Linked DNA regions of Drosophila melanogaster. Changing the gene in region 1 together with any one later gene gives a genetic interaction. Each region holds a gene or a part of one and is shown in the gene's direction. Other genes may lie near its edges. The genes, in order: Dscam1, Fmr1, fra and Abl.

Region 1 (4,600 bases):
ATGCGTCAGCTGCCGCAGCCGGTTCCTCAGGGTCCACGGCCGAGGAATCCACGGCCCTGATTGAGTCAACCACCACGGCCACGGCAACCACTACGTCGACAACCACCACTGGAGCCGTAGGAAAAGTGAAGGACAAGGCCCTGGTCAGCTTCAGGCCGGAGCAGCTGAAGCGTCTGATGCCAGCTCCGACGGCCACGAAAGTGACGCGTCAGAAGAACAAGATAATTATCCAGGACGCAAGTCGTCGAAACTAAATACGAATTTAACCATTTCCAGGACGATATTATAAGGTTAAGCCAAATAGCCATATACAATTAATAGCCATGAGCTGAAATCCAGCCACTTTAATAATTAAGGCGATAATATAAAAAAATGCTTAAAAATGTATAACAGATTACTCCCATATACATGCATACATTTTAATCAATAGTCCGACATATATACCAGCTTGAATTTATTAGTTTACTGCTTGTCGTTTAACTTATTAAAGTGGCTGGAGTTCGATATCTTTTTAAGTGTGAAGCAATAGCTCAGATCCTGGTAACAAGAACTGAACAAGTTTCGTCCACAGTCATGACACAAATAGACTACAACACATGGTTCTCATTCCGGCTCTTTAGCTGGGGAGCATTTATTTTAGAAACCCCCACACGTACATACACCTAGCATATGAAAGTAACTATCCTCATGAGATTCAACCGTAAAGACTTGACCTGCTACTTAAGATACTCGCAAGACAAACCGTACACAAAACTCGCTCAAAGTGTTGACCTAAGTCTCCGCATTGTTTAACTTGTACATAACAATAATTATTAGGTAACCACTTAATTTTAATTGATTTTGTTAGTTTTAGCTTAGTTGTAAACACTATTGTGTCTTCCCTCGAATTTTAATTGACCTTCGATACCAATTACAACATACGTACTCCATACCCAAGTGTTAACCTTTAATATTCTATCAAAAGCATTTACTCTGTACAACTTATAAATGCTTCAAATCGCAGTATTTGCGCTAATCCAATACTCATTTTGCATTAACTTAAAATTAAAATTCAATACTGTTTGGTTGTGTACAACGTATTTTTTATTGTCCATTGATATAGATGCAGTTTGCACTGTACTCCGAGTAACTTAAATTGATATTAATGTATGTATGTTCCCTCAATATCAGCGTGTGAAAAATTATAAACACATTTGTAAGCATACATATTCCGCCAAATCGCTCGGCATGGCTTTGTGTGGATATTGTTGGTTAAGCAAATAAATATATACAAACTAAACTAATCAATCAGTGTTTAATCAGTGTTTTATATTCAAAATAAAATAGTTATCGTCTTATAAAGATAATTAAGTTCTACATTTGCAGCTGAAATCCAAGCAAACACAGTCCACAAGGCAACAGGTGAGAAATGTCCCAGAAATTTCCCAAACAATCGCCCCTTCGGACACACACACACACAGAAAGCGCAAAGAGAGAGGATGAGAGGGAGAGAGAGAGAGCGCCGGTTTAAGCGTTGTATCTAAATCCGATGGCGAGTATCTGAGCATCCGATTCAGTCTTGTTTGGACCGTCGAGCGATCGAGAACCGGATTTCAGCGCTAGTCGGCGAATCGCGAGAGCGTGCGAGTATTTGTGTGTGCGTGTGAGCGTTTGTTTTGGGACACCGATACGGATACGGGTACGGATAGACGGATATACGGCAGCGGTACGCGATTAGCAATCCGCCAACCGGTTGCAGCGGTGCTAGTGCACCACCCTACAAAAAAGTGAATAATAGTATGCAAAGTATCTGAAAGATAGTCAAGAGCAGAGCAAAGTATCTGTGTTTGTGTGTGCCGTGCTTTTGTGCGGAGTCGCCACCCCCGTGGATTAGTGGCACCCTGCTGCAAATAGCCCACCACTCTCACAAGTGTGTGTGTGTGAGTGTTAACAATTAATCGCATTTAAAAAACAATTTGGCCAGCCGCAGTAACAATAACGGTAAGAAAAGTCGGCGGTACCGTTGGGAAATTTTCACCGTTGTCTGGCAACTTCTTTGTGCCCGTCGTGTATGTATAGGTTGGGTGCAGAAGTGTGCGTGAGTCCTGCCCACGCCCACCGAGTAGCGCTAGTCTGCGAAATCAACTGCAGGATGCTGTAGGTTGATATTTTATCGGTTAGATGATAATAGTCTTTGGTCTTCCTTATGATTTTTCGCCAGACGTTAAGTTTTTTCAATTTGGGAATGCAAAAACGGTTACTTTATGCACCGTATCACATCACACACACTTGCAAAAGGGTGTGAAAATGTACTGCCATGAGGGAGGAAATATGCATGTTCTACGACTCCCAAACAAGTTTCATACTAAATTTCCGAATGTCTTGTTTAGTACGTAGGGGAGTTTCTATATATTTCATGCTACTTTTTATTTATAAATCGAGTTTTAGAGGAAATAATTGCAGTCCCTGAATTTTCAGCGATTTTTTTTCGGCGCATGCGCCCTTGGAACCGCAGAAAAGCAACTCTGTGATTACCGTTGTATTCGCTTGTGCGTCCATTCGTGTGTGTCAGTCAGTGTGTGTGTGTGTGTGTGCAACCTGTGCCTCCTGCCGCCAGGTCCTTGGTCCTTTGTCGCCGTCAGGTAGTTTTCAGCTTTCCCTACTCAAAACGCTTCATTCTCAAGAACCTCTTAAAATTCTTCGCAGTTTCCATGTGGCACACATACGTCGCGATCCTTTCAGCGCACATGTGTGTGTGTGTGTGAGTCCTGATGTTAGTGTTGTTTCATCCCCTGCTTGTAAAATCACTGAAATCCCGTGCAGCTGCCTTCGTCCTTTCCTTGCTGGTGTGTCTGAAGTTTCCACTATTTGATTTTGCAAGTGTTGCACTACCCTCCTCCTCCGCTTCCTTCTGCGTCTGCTGGCGATATACTTTTTATTTTCCTGCTTCTTTTTCTGGTTTTTCGTCGGCTCGCCATCCTGTTGCTAGGCGGTTTTCCCCACCAGTTGGACCAGTGCCAATTTTCCATGTGACTCCCTGTTTTCAGAGCAATAAAATAGTCAGTGAATTACCTATACACCTATGAACTTGCAGTAATATTATTGAATAGTATTTTAGGCACTATTGATTTAATTTTTTTTAATTTCTGTTTACATTGATACTCCGCTTAATGTAAATTATTATACTTATTTTACAATAACTAATTATTTATTTACCCACATGAATTACTGGTGTCTCCCTTTAAATGTACTGAATAGATCCTGGACATTTTTTGAAATCGTTAATAAGCTTTTCTGAAAGTGCTCCACTCGTTGAGCGAAGTGCTCAATGAGTTTTGGCAACCAATAAAATCAATAAATAAATCCAATAGTGTGCCATTTTATTCACACACATTTCAGATAAGTTCTAAGTTGTTTTAGTGATGGTTACTCCACCCACTAACTAATTTATACACAGCACGCTGGTGGTTAAACAGATTTACTTTGGCCGCTCTCATCGATTTGATGAGAATGCACTCATCGGGTCGCTTGTGAAGGCAAATATTGATTTCCACTTGGGCAGCAACATGACACAGCGGAAAAGGTTAAAGTGAACAAAGGACCGAATAAATATTTCCTTTTGTTTCTACTGCCGCCGAGAGCACTTGAATCTCAATTAGGGCCGCAGTGCGGAAGCTCTGGGCGCGAATGGGTCACAGCAGCGTTTCTGGACAATGGATGTGTGTCCTCTGCCTCCGCCGACGACCCTGCACTGGGCCACTGCCCTCAGTGCCCACTGTGCCCCATCCGACCATTCCTGCGGCACCACCCTTCCTAAATTTATTGGCTCGTCACCCCAATTTAAAGTTACACATGCAGCCAGACGGGGCAACAAGAAGAATACGAAAGGCGAGCATGAGTAATATTAAAATGCTTTTGATTCGTTGATTTTACCACGCGATTGACCAAACGGATCCGCTCACCGAGGGTTGTATCTCTTTATGTAGGTACATTGTATATGGTATAGATGTATCCGCACATATGTTGCCTATACGGATGCCTGGATCCGTTGACTGATTACCAGATGTTTTCCAAATTGCTTCAGTCGAGCATCAGTTGTCGGTATGGGAAGCGAACAATTTCTAAGCTGAAAGCTCAAGGAGAGATGTATTGATGAGTCATTACTCGAATATTTACGTGCTGTTCGGCAATTTTGGGCAAATTACTTTTCCATTTATGATTTATCTATTTATTTTTTAAACAAAAATCTAAATTCATTGATATACTTGATGGATTAGAAAAATGCACATGATTCTTAAAGGAACGTGATTCAATTAAAATTTGCAACCATTTCTATATGTGGATAAACTTCTTCGTCTTCAAAGTGTGTTTTTGATTAGCAAATACATTTCAAAAATAATTAATATACATAACTATTTTCCACCATCCGCATTCCTCTCTCTAATTCTAAACTTTTCTGGAATACTTAGTAGAGTCAGCTTAAAAGGGAATTTTTCGGTTAATAAACTCGTGGGTTTGATGCCACACCCCTGATGGAATAGTTTGGCCACCCCAGAGCCTTTGATGCAGCTGTTTCCCTGCTGCAAGCTACAGTCTGTTCATTAGGCCAATTGAAAAGCTA
Region 2 (4,895 bases), on another chromosome or scaffold:
AAATAATTAGCAAGGGAATGATACTACCTGGTTTTTTAGAAGGATGATCTCATCTTTTTTAACCATTAAACAAAAGAAAAAATAAATTTAACTTTCGTATTAAGGGTATTGTTGCTCAGAATTTGCTCCAGCAATTTGAGAATGACTAAACTTATTGAATTTTATTTCTATTAATATTCACACTTATGCGCGAATTCTTTATGTTACTATAATTACAAATGCAGTGAACACCTTTTATAAGGAATGTATTATCTTATTTATTATTGAAAAATTTACTTGCCCGAATATTCCTCGCAGTGTATTTTACGTCGAGAGGAAGTGACGTACCTGTCACGATCGAGATTGTCACATTTTGGCAAATAAATTTCACTTGATCCCTCCACGCGGTTAAAATTAGAATTTAAATTAATTTAGTGCCCGAAGTGACCAATTGTTGCACTGCAATTGCACCCGAACCGAATCGTTTCAAATCCGATCGCGAAACGAACATAATGCTAATTGAGCGGGACAAATTCTGGGGTGCGAGCGAGATGGCTAGATGCGAGAGGAGGAGGGGCTGTCGTCGCTGAACTTTCGCTCTTTTGTTGGCCATGTCGACGTCATTAAAGTGCAGTTAATGTGCCAAAAGGTAGAACAAAAGTCAATGTCAAACGGCAGCTGCTCTCATTTTCCTCGGCAGTGGAAAAGCGGTTGAAATAGGGGTGGTTAACTGGTGGGCAAGGGCGCGGGAAAATCAAATCAGAAACTGCATTTCCGCAACAAATCGCCGCTTGACAGTAATTACCGTCAACACGAGCGGTAATTTATGACTATCGAATTGCGAATCTTGATACCCTGTATGGAAAATTGTTATGGGATTTTAACGGAATCTGCCTGCAAATAGGCTGGGAAATGCGAAAATGGCGAGTAGAGGGTATTGCCTTTGCACAGAGACACAGAATTTCCAACTATTCACAGGCATATAAAGGATTTAATGGTTCCCATTAACTGACTGGCCATGAATTTTTATAATTTGTTGGCCCATTTTCACCACACAAATGCCTAAATGGCATGCGATTTAAATACAGGCGAGCTTTTAGACTTGCCCACTTATTAATCAAGAGTAAAGTTCACAAATATAATTCATAAATCTTATTAAGTAGTTCCAAGCAAATATGTGGTTTCATCCTAAATGGAGTACTCCGTCAGATTTCTGCTGTCCGATCCGCTGAAAATTGATGGAAATTGGATTACAAATAGACCGCACTGCACCTTTATCGGCCACTCATAATCAAATGCGTTTCATGAATGGAAGGGCAAAATAAGAAAAAAAAAATAGTAAAAAGCAAATTCAACAAGCGTGTTGACAAAAAGCGCCAGCGACGTCACGCGATTTGGGGGCAATCAAAGGGGCAAATAAAACACCGCATGTGGCAAATTGCGCCCACTGTTGACCCCAGCAGTCGTTGCAATTACATAGACAATTACATTAACATTAAGGCGTAGTGGTCAGCAGTTCTGCAAATTAAAATCGAATCGAATCAATTGAAAAGCCACCAAACATGCGAATCAATCTGCTGATGGGCTAGCAATTCAATTACGTTGTTAGCAGACAGCAAACTAAGTGAGCAGTCAATAGTGTTCGGTTCGTCGACTTCATTTAAATTTTAAATGATCTTATCAGCTTTTTGAATTTCGAATCGTAACCGCCTAGCGCGCTTAAAATACAACCCTGTTTATTGTGAACCCACAACTTATAGTCACTCTGGCAAGGCCCGGTGAGCTGTCACTTAGCAGCCTTGCCACTTTACTGTCAGATCATTTTTCTCTCGCTTTCAAACAAGCCCTGTGTTATAGAGCACAAATCATTTATCAAAAATTTCGTATCTTATTTTCACAAATTTATCGCTTGGGCCAAACACGCCCGAAATCTAGCCAAAACCATCCGAAGTGGCCAGTAACGCGCGCCGATTGTAAACGGGTGGCAACTCCAGTAGAACGTTGCCGAGCTGCGAAAGTGTGCAAAAGCAAAACGAAGAGAACGCAGCGCAGCCGAAAAAAATTGAAGCAGCACTGCACGCGATATATTTTGTATTTTCAAAGGTTAAAGCCGCATTCACAGGCATCCGCCGAGGGCAAACGAAGTGCAAAAGTGCCGGCCAGCAGTAAGTTTTCAAAAATTTGCAGTCTCTTGTGTATTACAGCCGCAAAAAGTGTTGAAAAAATTTTGCAAGAACCGAAAAAAACCAAAAAATTTTGCACATCGTCGGCGGCTGCGACGTCGACGACAGCAGCGACGCCGCCTCTCTGCCGGCAGCGGCAGCAAAAGGGAGCAGCTGAAAGAGGAAAACCGATAAAATACAAAAAGAAAAGTAGAGAACGAGAACGAGAAAAACGGCGAGCGGCTACGCAACGCTGATGTTTCTTCTCTTTGAGAAAAGCGAAAATCGAAAGCAAGTGTGGAAATTATGTGTAAATTCGATATGTAAATTCGGCATGTGCCGTTCGTAGTGTGCGTACAAATTCTTATTGGAAAAGCGTGTTCATCGGTGTGAACGAACGAACGAAGCATTTCGGCGGCGAGAGAGAGAGAAAAAGAGAGCGAGAGCGCACACGCTTGGTGGTGGTCATGTGTGTGTGAGGCGGCGGGCTCACACACACAAAGGGAGAGAGACAAAGAAGAAGAGGAAGCACTGCGCTGCTGCGCTGCCGGCAAAGCCGACGTCGCTGCCGGCTTCGCCGCCAGCTGCATTTAGTGTTTAGCTAGGAATTATCTGGCCCCCAAAATAACTTCAAAATTTTCTTCAACTATTTTTTTTATTAGTGTGTCAATATATAGTCTCCCTCTCCAGATACAAAAATTCAAAAATACCAAAAACAAAACCATTCCATATTATTATTGATTACAGGCAACATTTGAAGCAGCAGCCGCCAAGCAAAAGACTGATTTGAGTACAAGGAACTAGAAGCAGGAACGCGAGGTTTCTGCCACTGCACACTGAATTGTGAGCATACCCACCCATACCTAGCTATATCTATAGCCCTAATATCTCCATTCTTCCCCCTCAGGAGCCCCAGATAACGCGGCAAACTGCAGTCGACGGGGAAAAGTCGGGAGTTGAAGGCTGGGCAGCATCAGCATCAGCAGCAGGAGGGACAGGGACGGACGGCGAAGAACCACCAGAACCAGAACCAAAACAAAGCGGATAAACCAGGAGGCACTACGTCTGGCGATATGGAAGATCTCCTCGTGGAAGTTCGGCTCGACAATGGCGCCTACTACAAGGTGAGTTGATTCAATTGGTGGAATAAAAATGTTGGTAAGGGGGTGACAAAAAAAAAGAAGGAAAAACAGAGGAGCAAGGAGTTGGGGCAGCAGCTGCCTCAGTTTCTAATTTCGTGGATTTTAGCTTTATTTCTATTAATAAACAGCAACATTTTGAGTGGAGTCTCGACATCATCGCCACCACCACCACCACTACCACTACCACTACTACACTAATACCAGCACCATCGCCAATCTGCATACACCAACGCACTCACGCACACTGCGTTGTGGGGGTGCCGACGTCGACGTCGATGTCGATGTCGACGCGGACCGCGCCGCCCACTGCGCTGCCCACTGACGTCGTCGTGCATTCGGTTTTGTTGTTTTGATGATTTCCCTTTCTTGTCGTTGCAATTTATAAAGATAAGATCCGATTAAACCATCTTATATCGCGGTTAAGTGATTTTCGCGGATAGATTACAGGTATACGAGGTTGTTAGATCTCGAATCATTAGTCTTATGAACGAAGTTCAGTCTTAAATCCCATTCATAATGCTAGCTTTTGATGTGTTTTATTGTTCACTGTTTAAACAAATTCAGCAAAAATGTATGCTTATAGGCTTAAATTTTCCAATGATAATATAGACATTTTGGAAACCAGATAACAGTGCACTTAAGAATATTCTTATACTTTCAATTATTGTTCTTAGTACTTATCCCCATCATTAGCTAACCTATTCTGGAAACCTTCTGGATATGTATAGTAAGGTAGTGAATACTTTGCATAGCGTTGCCTTTGATTTCAGTGCTTGGAATCAAAACAAGGGCAATGCACATAAACACACTCGACTAGAGCGACTTCCCTGATGCTGATGATTCAGCTGTCGGCTGTTTGCATTTCGGATAAGGTTCTACGACTACTCGCTTATCGGAGATATACGGTTTCCCTCGCTAATGCCATTGCAATTCTCGATTTCACAATGGGACGGGATTGGGGGGACTATCGTAAAAATATATTTTATATACTTATGCATATACACACATCCGAATGGAGGTATATCATAGGCAATGGCCACATTAATGACACACATTTTTCTCTCTCTACTCCTATGCCTTCCGATGCTGGCCCTGTCAATGCTCTTGTATTTCATCCGTTTGCTGCCTGCCTGCCGCCAACAAAAAACTACAACTGCAAACTAAAAACTACGACGACGACGACAACAACAACAACAGGGCCAGGTGACAGCTGTCGCCGATGATGGCATCTTTGTGGATGTGGACGGGTAAGTTTGTTTAAACAAACAAATCTGCGAACAGGGCAAACAACAACAACTAGAGCGTATTTTCTAACTAATTTGCAACGATTAATACAATCAGAGCTGCAGCAGGAGCAGCAACAACCACCGACGCGACTTCTTGGCATCCGAATTAGAAATTAGAGATTCTGGGCACGCATCATTTGTGTCGTCCGCCATCCGCCAAACCACTTCCCGCCGAATCCCCTACTGCGGACTCACTAATTTGGCGCAATTTGTTAAACGCCAGACGCCGCTGCAGCAGTTTCTGTTGCTATTAGTTGATAAAAAAGAAAAAAAAAATGAGCCAAATCAAATAAAACTGCTGACTGACAGACTGACCAACGCCATCC
Region 3 (4,946 bases), 5.1 Mb from region 1:
TGTCTGCCGACGCTAACTTAATTTAACTTACTTTGTTGTTGTTCTCTCTCACCGGTTTGCTGGCCATTGTTGTTGCTGCCAGGCGTCGCAATTTGCTGCCTGCGTCGCCTGTCGCCGCCAATTAAGTCGGGAAATGGCCAACTATTTTAGCCGACTGACAATCAAAGTGATGGAAATGCATACTAATAATAGTAAGCCCTGATTAATCAGGTTTTTATTAACAGAAAGTACTTTAAACTCTATCTATATACCTAATTTAAAATCAAACTTAATTGTATCCCTTCCAGAATATCATAACTCATGAAGTATCACTTAAGCAAATATTCTGAACTTCCTAATGGCTCTGGATTTAAAATCTTTGCCTTTATTAGTTCTACCCAAGTTAACAACTTTCTTAGGAAGCGATTTGCAGTGAAAGTCTTTAGTGCCATGAACAATGGATTTGCCAAGTTAAACGAGAGAACCTTTTATATATTTAAGCAATTTCCATGTCCGAAGTGCATGCCTTAATTTATATATTACCACACACAGGCTTAATTCACTTAAGCGCCTTTTCGTGTCGGCACCTAAAAGCTTTGAATGGGAAGAACATCCGAATCAGAATCCAAATCACCATCAGTCGCCGCGTTTTGTGGGTGCCCAGAAGTTGCCCAACTTCAAGCTGGCATAACAGATACAGGGATGCGGATGCACATACAGATACGGATACTCGAAAGACTCGGTAGCTCGGATTAATTAAAACTGAAAATTGCAGTGGCGTCTGGTGGGGAAATGTGTGTGCTGCTTTTAAAAAACCTGCAATTAGCAGCGAAAAATCTCCGGTTCTGGTAATTTGATCCAAGTCCTCGAAACTTGACCCACATTTTGTGGGCATACGGATGATACGCTAATGAAGGGAATTTCATTTCACTTATTTTTGCGGCCTGCCAGTCCAAAAAAAAATGCCTCCCCCTTCTTTTTCACCCCGTCGTTTATTTTTACGACGCTTTCGCTTAAGCGCTGGCATTTAATGTGAAATTTATCATTTCAACGCCACGCCCCCCACCCCACGCCCAACCAACAATTTGTCGGCCTTGGTCGGATTTTTTATTGCGTTCACATTTCTCCGAGGCGAAAAGTGATATGTTCATTTTTTCAGCCTTTAAAGTTCCTGCTGGTTGCTGGTCGGCGCTTTTAAAATGAGTGTTCCTTTGCCACATGCATTTTTTTAGAGCCACAACTTTTAACCACAACCTGTCTGCACGTCGGTTGCTCGGGGGTGGCAATCACTGGCCAACTGCAAAAAATGCATTTCAAACAGGAGATTTTCCCATTGGTTTGAGCATAAAGTTTTCTGTCAAAGGATTTTTCTGAAATAACGTACTTATGAACAAGATCAGTCGGGGAGAAAGTTGAGGTACATTTCGAAAGCCATTAAAATTTTTAAGTATTAATCTCCTGTGACTCTCATAAAAAGAAATTTGTGTAAAGTAAAACCGAAAATATGTGAAATTTTAAAATATTTAAAAATATAGGAGCAAACCTTTTGAATACCGATATAAATTCATATGATTAATATCCCAACTGCAAATGTCCTCGAAATAATAATGTTTGTTGCTTTTGATGTGTAATTGACTTTGGTCCTAACTTTTGAATTACGCGCCATTTGGAATAAATTGCTCAACTGACCTTAACGCGTTTTTGGTGATGTGCACTCCAGTATCGATTGCTTTTCAATGTCGATGACAGTCATTAAAATATATTATGATTACGTTAGTAAGAAAGCTGAGCACTGATTACTACGTTACTTATGGAAACCCCTTTGTAAAATGATAATGAATTTATAATATGCAAGAATAACATGGTGCGAAAGTCATTTCATCGTCATCGATAGTAGTGAGACCATCGATAAGCATCGATAGCGGATGTGTTTTCGCATCACCCGCGCAGCTAGGGATTTTTTCGACAGTTTCGGATTTTTTTTCGGTCGTCGAGGTCGTTGCGCGCATGTATACTCTTTAGTGGCGAGAAAACGCGTTTGCCAATAGTAAAATCCATCGCAAAGAGGTAGAAAATTAAAATAAGTGCAGCCAAAATCGAAAATAAATGAAAAAGGCACTCAAATAATACATACAGCCGCTGAAAATGTGTTTTAAATAGAACTGCAGCTGCAAGTCCTGATGCCTGCCGAAGGTTAGAGCGAGACAACGCTACTTACTCGAGTGTGTGTGCGCAATTTGTTGATAGTATTTTCTGTTGTTGTAAAAATGCCCCGCTTGCAAGCGTGCAATAACAGCAACAACAAGACCTGAAACAACAACAATAGGCGGCGAATGCCGGCAAAACAAAAACGCGTAAACGATTGATGCGAATAGCGTAAAACAAGAGAATCGAAAGCAATAATCGCCCAAGAATACACAACAAAAGTGGAGTGAGTAAAAGTCGCGTGTGAGTGTTTGCGTCGCGTGTATGTGTGGGTGCAAAGGATACAAATAGAAGGCGCAATCGGCGATTGGCGGGTATCAAGAGCCAAAATGTTGTAAACAAATCGCAAAAGTCCAAATAAACCTGAGCCATTCGAATTACCTCCGATCGCAAACGACGGTTTCCAGCCAAATCAGCGAAAAGCAAACAGAATATGGCCATCACAACAAACAGAAGCAGCAGGACTTTGTGGAACTGGCTGCTCAGCAGTTGTCTCATATTCCAGCTGATTGGCAGCAGTTTGGCAAGTCAAGGTGAGAACTTCAATCTGAAATGATAAATATTTTGCACCAAAGTGCCGTAAGAGGGCTTTATAAAAATGTAGATAGTTTCTATCTTTCGCTGTGCAGGTTGTCAATTTATAATTTTAAACCAAAGACCCATGAAATCCAAGCTTAGTTGCTTACACAGAAAGACATTATCAAATTGTGTACATATATAGATTATTAAAGAGATTATAAAAGATATAAAAAAAATTTTATGAACATGTGATTGAACTTTAATTCTTGGGCTGCGCCTTAATTGCCTTCTGACAGGAGGAAATAATCTAAAACAGTGTATAAATTCGGTAGATTAGATGAGTTTATATCACTTCAATAAATATTACGATTAAATAGTACGAATAGATGAACTACGTGGTTTGTCAGCCCAGTAATTTTTAGTTCACTACACTCATCCACCATATTTTATGACACTATCTGTTACTTTACTCTTCGTACAATTCCCTATCTATGTTGTGTATTCGGGTACCATAAAGTTCGATATCTGTATTTTAACAAATATGAATGCAAGTACAGTTTTGGCGACTGGATGTCTGGTCGACGTGCCAGAAAGCAGGCATTGGGACCCACAAAAAAAAAAAAGCCTCATGTGCGAAAGGTGATGTCAACGGCGAACTGATCCGATAAGCTGTCATATTTCGCAACTCGCGCTCTTTTTGCACTCGTAAAATTGAGGTACTTTCAAAAACCCTGCCCTATTCCATCCACATGTGCCAATCACCCGGGGTAATTCACCGTAATTGCTTCCCATCATATCACCTGCAGATAAGAACTCAAAATGGGATGGTTGCGAAACCGATAGTGCTTCAAAACTTAAACATTACTAATGAGCTTCGCTTGAAACGAGATAAACTAAACACTGCACAACATGAATTGAAAACCAACGCACTTGTTTGCGATTATTTGAGCCAAAACAAACACGATTTCCTGTGAAAAAGTATTCTGAAATCGAAGAAATAGAATCCAACAAAATGGTAGCCGTAAGAGTCATTATCATTAGCTCAAAGCCAGGGAACAAGTGATCTTAGGGGATCAGGTAGGTAAGCGCAGGTAGAACCAGTGCAGCCCAAAATGCAATTAGGTTTTAGGATCAGGCACAGTTTCAGTTTTAGGTCCCAGAAGAAGATTACCCAAGATCGGTGGGCAGCTGCACAATGCATCAATTGATTGATTTGGTTTGAAAACTAAGCCAGGGGTGGCTTAGAGGCTTATCATATTTCCATTTTCGGCTGGAGAAATAAACAATCGCGTAAAATGAGGGAGGGATAATGGAAATCCCCGCAAAAGGCGCAAATAATGCAAACAAATTAAATGTCCTGCCGTGAATCTCGTCTCTGCGCCATCTTCGAAACGAGAAAGAAAAGCCACCCCTAAAAGTGAAAAGTGTCCTGGAAAAACGGGGAGCCGCCTTATCAGCTGCAAAATTTATCAACGCCAGCTCCAAGACAGCCCGAAAAAGGACCCCAAAAAAAGTGCGGTCGTAAAAAATTGTCGGGGCATGTCATATGCAAATGGAATGAAAAATCTTTGAACAAATTTTTAGGTCATGGCATGTCATAAGTCGCAGGACTTAATGCCAGATTTAATTAAAAGCATTCCCTCACATAACTTCAAGCTTTATGTGGTGGGTATGTAATTAAAAAAAAAAGAAAACAACTTTACTTACATGGGTGTAACTAGCTGAAAAGAATTGTGTGACAACAATGGACTCACGTGGCTTCACGACCACTTAGTACCGTATAATAATGCATCAATTAAGGTTGATAAGATACTATGAAAGTAAGACAAAGTTAGACATTTCCGTGTTAGTTAAATTAAATTATAGAAAAGCATTTTAATAATTTATTTTGATCTTTAGATCTATGTGGCCTTAAGACACCCTTGTGGTTTTTTCTATCTTGCTAAACAAACTAGTTGATTTTATAGAAGGATCCTACTTATACCGTGTACGAAAAACTCACGTGCGAGGTCCTGTTCCCATTTTCGTGCTTATTTGTGGCGCTCTGTGTTTTCACTTTCCTGGTCATATTTCCTCGCTCTTTAGCCCGTGAATTGTGGCAATTGTTTGATGTTGTCCTGGGCGAGTCGCCTCACCCTGGCGTTCACTGGCTTTTTCCCGTGGCCAGGAGCACATTTAGCCGCATTACGTGATACAATATATGAGTGACATGTTATTCTAATTTCGCACCCCTTTTCATATTC
Region 4 (4,599 bases), on another chromosome or scaffold:
CAAGAAGGATCAGACTCCTGCCTTCAGTTTGGATATCGCACAGTTTGCGATACTTGAACGACAGGCATTTTTGGTTGAAATTGAATTTGATTTACTGGAGAACTGTTTTCCTAAAATCACTTGTAGTTGGGGTCTGAGAACTTTGTACTTCTAAGTCTATACGCATATATATTTATAAAAACCTATATTAACGGAATATTAAACACGTGAAAACGGAATACCAACCAATAACAAAACACTAAGTTAGTCTATTGTTCCAAGATCCAGAGCGCAAATTGTTATTGTAAAGTAATAAACTGTTTTCAAATCTGTAAGAACAAACAATATTTATAACAGTCGAAAAGACGTCTGATAAAATGTTGCTGACTGACTGGATTAAGTCGAAGCATTGTCATAGTCACCAATAAAATATTTTTGAAATTTTAACATATATTCCAGTCAGTCAGTATAGTTTTAACCAGTGTGTCAGTCATGCTGCAATACAAAAAGTTCGATTCTGTTAGGGGAAGGCATTTATTTAGTTAACCTGTGTTAAATGCATTTGAATATTCCTTCAAATTTCTTGCTGCTTTTTGGTAACTTAACAAAGCCACAGAAAGTCCTTGAACGTAACAAAAAAAAAAAAAAAAAAGAACGTAAAATAATAATAACCAGAGAAAAATTAAATTATATTTATACTTGTAAGCGAACAGAACAGAAGAGATCGCATGTGAAAGAGCAAAACCGAGAAAATGAAAAGCAAAAGTCCTACTTGAAAAGTTAATTTAGTGTAAGCGAGGAAAATGTAACTGAAAATGAAATCGGAGCAGAAGCTGAAGGAGGATCGTGTGAATGGAGAGAAGGATCGATTGATACTGAACTCTAGCAGGAGAGAGAAATTGAAACGAACAAACTTGAAATTTCTGTCGGGTATACATACTAAATAATAACTAAGCAAGAACACTAAAGATTGAGAATGCTAAACAAAACCAACGGATAAATAAAACGTAACAAACGGAAAAGGATGGAAAGTATTGCAGTTGTATTTATTAGTCGGGCTAAATGGGAATTTATGAATACATCTAAAGGCATATTATAAAAACCGTAGCTTGATTATTCGATGTTTTTAAATGTCAATTACATTTTGATTTGAGTCAGTTTTCTCTTAAAATCAATAAACTAAACTAGGGTTGACGCAATAGTCGAAAAAATTCGAAGTGTATCCATGAAAAATTAAAGATAATGTTATAAGTTGCATTGCATTGAAAATCTAAAGAGAATAAACTTTTCCTAGAAAGCTATATCAAGATTCTTTTAATTCAAATTATGTGTTTTAAACGTTTGAATTTAATTTTTTTTTGAACAACCAAAAATTAGTGTTCACAATCATGGAGTTTTTAAGCACTGGCTTACTAAGCTAAGTTAACCACCCAACCAGTCCGTGTCGCGCACCCATCATATTGCATTAGCCGAGTTTCTTACCAAACTAGCGCTGCCAACGCGTTCGTAAGTACTAAGCATTTATTATCAATATCGATACGTCTATCGGTATGCTGCCAAGTAGGGTATGTTTAAACGACCGACAAGCGGTCACACGAGTGCAAGTTGGATTCCAATTCGATCCGTCGCGGTGCGTGGAAAAAATGCACAGATGTAGATAAATCAGCAAGCAACGCTAGCAGATCAGATAGAGCTATATCGTCGCGAAAACCGATTAATTTGCCATGTTCAGCGGATCAGCCTGCGGATCAATTAAACCGTAAAAAACAGAGCAGGCGAGCGTAAGCAAGAGAGAGAGGTGAAGCCAGAGGCGGAGGCGCAAGACAAAGTGCATTTTCAGGGCGTGTTTTTGAGACCCCCCTCGCCAGTTAAGCTCACCCAGCCTCCCAGCCGTCGACAAGAAGTTTGCCGACACAACATTTTACCAACATGCTGCAAATTCGCAATTGCACCTGAGCGGCCACTAGAACAACAAATCAGATAAATCGCAAACTTCCTTTTTCCTCCGTGCGTGTGTACTTCTGTGTGTGCGTGAGTGTCTCCAATCTTTTTTGTCTACTCCAAAAACGCAGAAAGAGAAAGAAAAATGTGTGCGTGTGTGTGTGTGAAATAAATTAAAGCAAAGCAAAAGGCAAAACGGCAAATAATTGAGCAAAAGGCCAAGAGAGAAGAGTTAAAGCTGAAGTATATAACAAGAAAAGCAAAGCAAATAATAAGTAGTAGTAGTAAGCGAATAAGCCGTAGCAGCAGGAGCCGAGAGAAGAGAGAGAAAAGTGTACAAGTTGTTGTTGCTGCGCAAGAGCGAAAAACCACCCAACCACCCACTGGCAAATGGGGGCTCAGCAGGGCAAGGACAGGGGCGCCCACTCGGGAGGAGGCGGCTCGGGGGCCCCCGTCAGCTGCATCGGCCTCTCCAGCAGCCCAGTGGCCTCCGTTTCCCCCCACTGCATCTCCAGTTCCAGCGGCGTCAGCAGCGCCCCCCTCGGCGGGGGCTCCACGCTCCGTGGCTCCCGCATCAAGTCCTCGTCCTCCGGCGTGGCCAGTGGCAGCGGATCGGGCGGAGGCGGTGGCGGATCCGGATCGGGGCTGAGCCAGCGTAGTGGCGGACACAAGGATGCACGCTGCAATCCCACCGTGGGTCTCAACATATTCACCGAGCATAACGGTAAGTTCCTGCAAGTGTTGGAAAACAGGCATCGAAAGCATGCTAAGTACACAGAGCAAAAAGCATATTTTCAAAATTTGAAAGCCTTGTTAAGTCAAATTAAACGAAAAACGTCTGTACATAGTGCACGCTCAATCAAAATCGTTTTTATAAAATTAGGTGTGCACTAAAATTTTGTTTTCTATTCGAAGTTATTTAGTGGTTTGATCATTTTGTGTTTCGATTTCTGTAAGCTTGACTTATTTCTCATTGGTGTTTCTTCTTTTACATTGGATCTTAGAATTATTTTCTTGCACATTGTAGTTTGAGTTAAAAAGGCATCAATCGTAGAAATCATCTGGACCAAATCGATCTGTATAAGTGTTGTGTAACATACATATAAAAGTCAGAGGATGCACAAACATGCATACATTTGGAGGTCCCATTCACTTACACACTAATTGTAAAAAATTGCATGCAGCCTCCAAACTCAGGTGTAAATTCCATCATAGTATTGTGACTTTTCTTATTATACATGGAAATTGTTGTTGCTGTATTGCCAATTGCTCAGAGTTGTGTTATCTCACATCCACCACAATCATTTCAATTCGTGATGAAATCTTTTGATATTCCATACAACAGTTTTTAAGGACATTCAAGAAATCAGTAACTAAAAACTTATTCAATGGGGGTACTTTCAATAAAAAAATGCTTTTTTAAGCGTGCTCTTGCCATTAAATCTCTTTTGTAAATATCATGTAAGTTTTGATTTATCTGCCAGTTTGGGCTGCACAGTGTTGTATTTATTGTTCATAAAGTGCAGTCCACTCGGCTTTCCCTTTCCCCCTCTCTCCTTCTTTATGATCCCCGCCCTTCCTCTATATACGCTGCTTTCCAATTGAGCCAATTTCTTTTTTCCTCCATTTCTTCCGATTATATAGGAAATTATTGTTGTTATTGCCGGCTAGTTTCATACTTGTTGTTGCTTTTCCGCTGCTTTTGTTTACTGGAGAGAAGGAGAATGAATGAGAAAGAAAAGTGAAGGAGAGAAGAGAAAAGAGAGAGAGCAGCACGCGTTGCTGTTGTTTTTGTGCTGCTTGGGGCGGTTTCAATCCGCATTCGTGCTCTCCATCATCCTTTATCCTTCGGCCTTCCTCGTGGCACCCTTATCCCTGCCACCCGCACAGTGGTTGAAATTGCGACCCACAACACCGTTATCCCACCCCCGCTGACATATTGCCATTTCCTCCACTTTTCCGCATTTCCCCTTGCATTTTTCCTGCCCTTCACGCACTCACGCACATTTTTATTTGCCTCATTTTTTTGTCTAATACTTTTCCATTATTTGCCCTGCCAAGCTGCATAATTTTTTCTTTACATCCTCCCCGTTTCCGCATTTTCCGCACACCCACTTATTGGGAGACATTTGCCGTTTCTAATAGCTTTTTTATGTCCATGTCGACGAAGTCCTACCACAATAGGACCCACAATCGGGTGGCATTCGGGATTTTCTCAAGACTACCGGAAAAACATTTGTCAGGTTATAATAGTTACGCAGACTCAGTGGTAGAACTTTTTTTTTAACAAAAAGCATAACTATGTATGAGAATACATGACGAGGGTCGTATTAATAGTAAGGTAGTTTTTTAACTTGAAATCGTGTTGCCTTATTCCCCTGACAATTGCAAGCCATTTTCGCAACAGCTGTTTCAAACTGAAAGTGGACTTTTCCGAGTTTTGATATTTACACGCGCGACAATCTGTTCCTAAATGTATTAAATCCATAAATTTGCTTAAGTTCGAAAATTGAAATTTAATCCTTTATTATTTTACTTTTTAACTTTTGATGTAAATACTTCCTTTTGCAAACTATTCATCTCCCAAACGAATGGCTTGGCCAAAGTATTGATTTTTCCTTGGCACTCCAAGCTGAGCCACTTTTCCCAGATGATTTACAATAAGCTGTAGATTTTTCT

What was found.
Region 2: of Dscam1 (region 1) and Fmr1, changing one suppresses a phenotype caused by changing the other (phenotypic suppression), as found in Drosophila melanogaster (2 studies listed by BioGRID).
Region 3: of Dscam1 (region 1) and fra, changing one enhances a phenotype caused by changing the other (phenotypic enhancement), as found in Drosophila melanogaster (one study listed by BioGRID).
Region 4: of Dscam1 (region 1) and Abl, changing one suppresses a phenotype caused by changing the other (phenotypic suppression), as found in Drosophila melanogaster (one study listed by BioGRID).

What each region holds. Positions count from the first base shown.
Region 1 is NT_033778.4:7,378,851-7,383,450, reverse strand, and holds the start of Dscam1 (down syndrome cell adhesion molecule 1), read left to right. Parts: upstream 1-1,581; 5' UTR 1,582-1,980; intron 1,981-4,600. Other genes in the region: cos (costa), read left to right, coding at 1-254. UniProt on the Drosophila melanogaster protein: Cell surface receptor involved in guidance and targeting of growing nerve axons.
Region 2 is NT_033777.3:10,107,065-10,111,959, reverse strand, and holds the start of Fmr1 (fragile X messenger ribonucleoprotein 1), read left to right. Parts: upstream 1-1,838; 5' UTR 1,839-2,144; intron 2,145-2,351; exon of another isoform or gene 2,352-2,436; intron 2,437-2,736; exon of another isoform or gene 2,737-2,888; 5' UTR 2,889-2,984; intron 2,985-3,048; 5' UTR 3,049-3,070; coding exon 3,071-3,265; intron 3,266-3,617; exon of another isoform or gene 3,618-3,730; intron 3,731-4,480; coding exon 4,481-4,530; intron 4,531-4,895. UniProt on the Drosophila melanogaster protein: Polyribosome-associated RNA-binding protein that plays a role in neuronal development and synaptic plasticity through the regulation of protein synthesis of mRNAs.
Region 3 is NT_033778.4:12,527,110-12,532,055, forward strand, and holds the start of fra (frazzled), read left to right. Parts: upstream 1-1,943; 5' UTR 1,944-2,617; coding exon 2,618-2,717; intron 2,718-4,946.
Region 4 is NT_037436.4:16,644,855-16,649,453, reverse strand, and holds the start of Abl (Abl tyrosine kinase), read left to right. Parts: upstream 1-1,571; 5' UTR 1,572-2,310; coding exon 2,311-2,644; intron 2,645-4,599. UniProt on the Drosophila melanogaster protein: Arm and Abl proteins function cooperatively at adherens junctions in both the CNS and epidermis; critical for embryonic epithelial morphogenesis regulating cell shape changes and cell migration.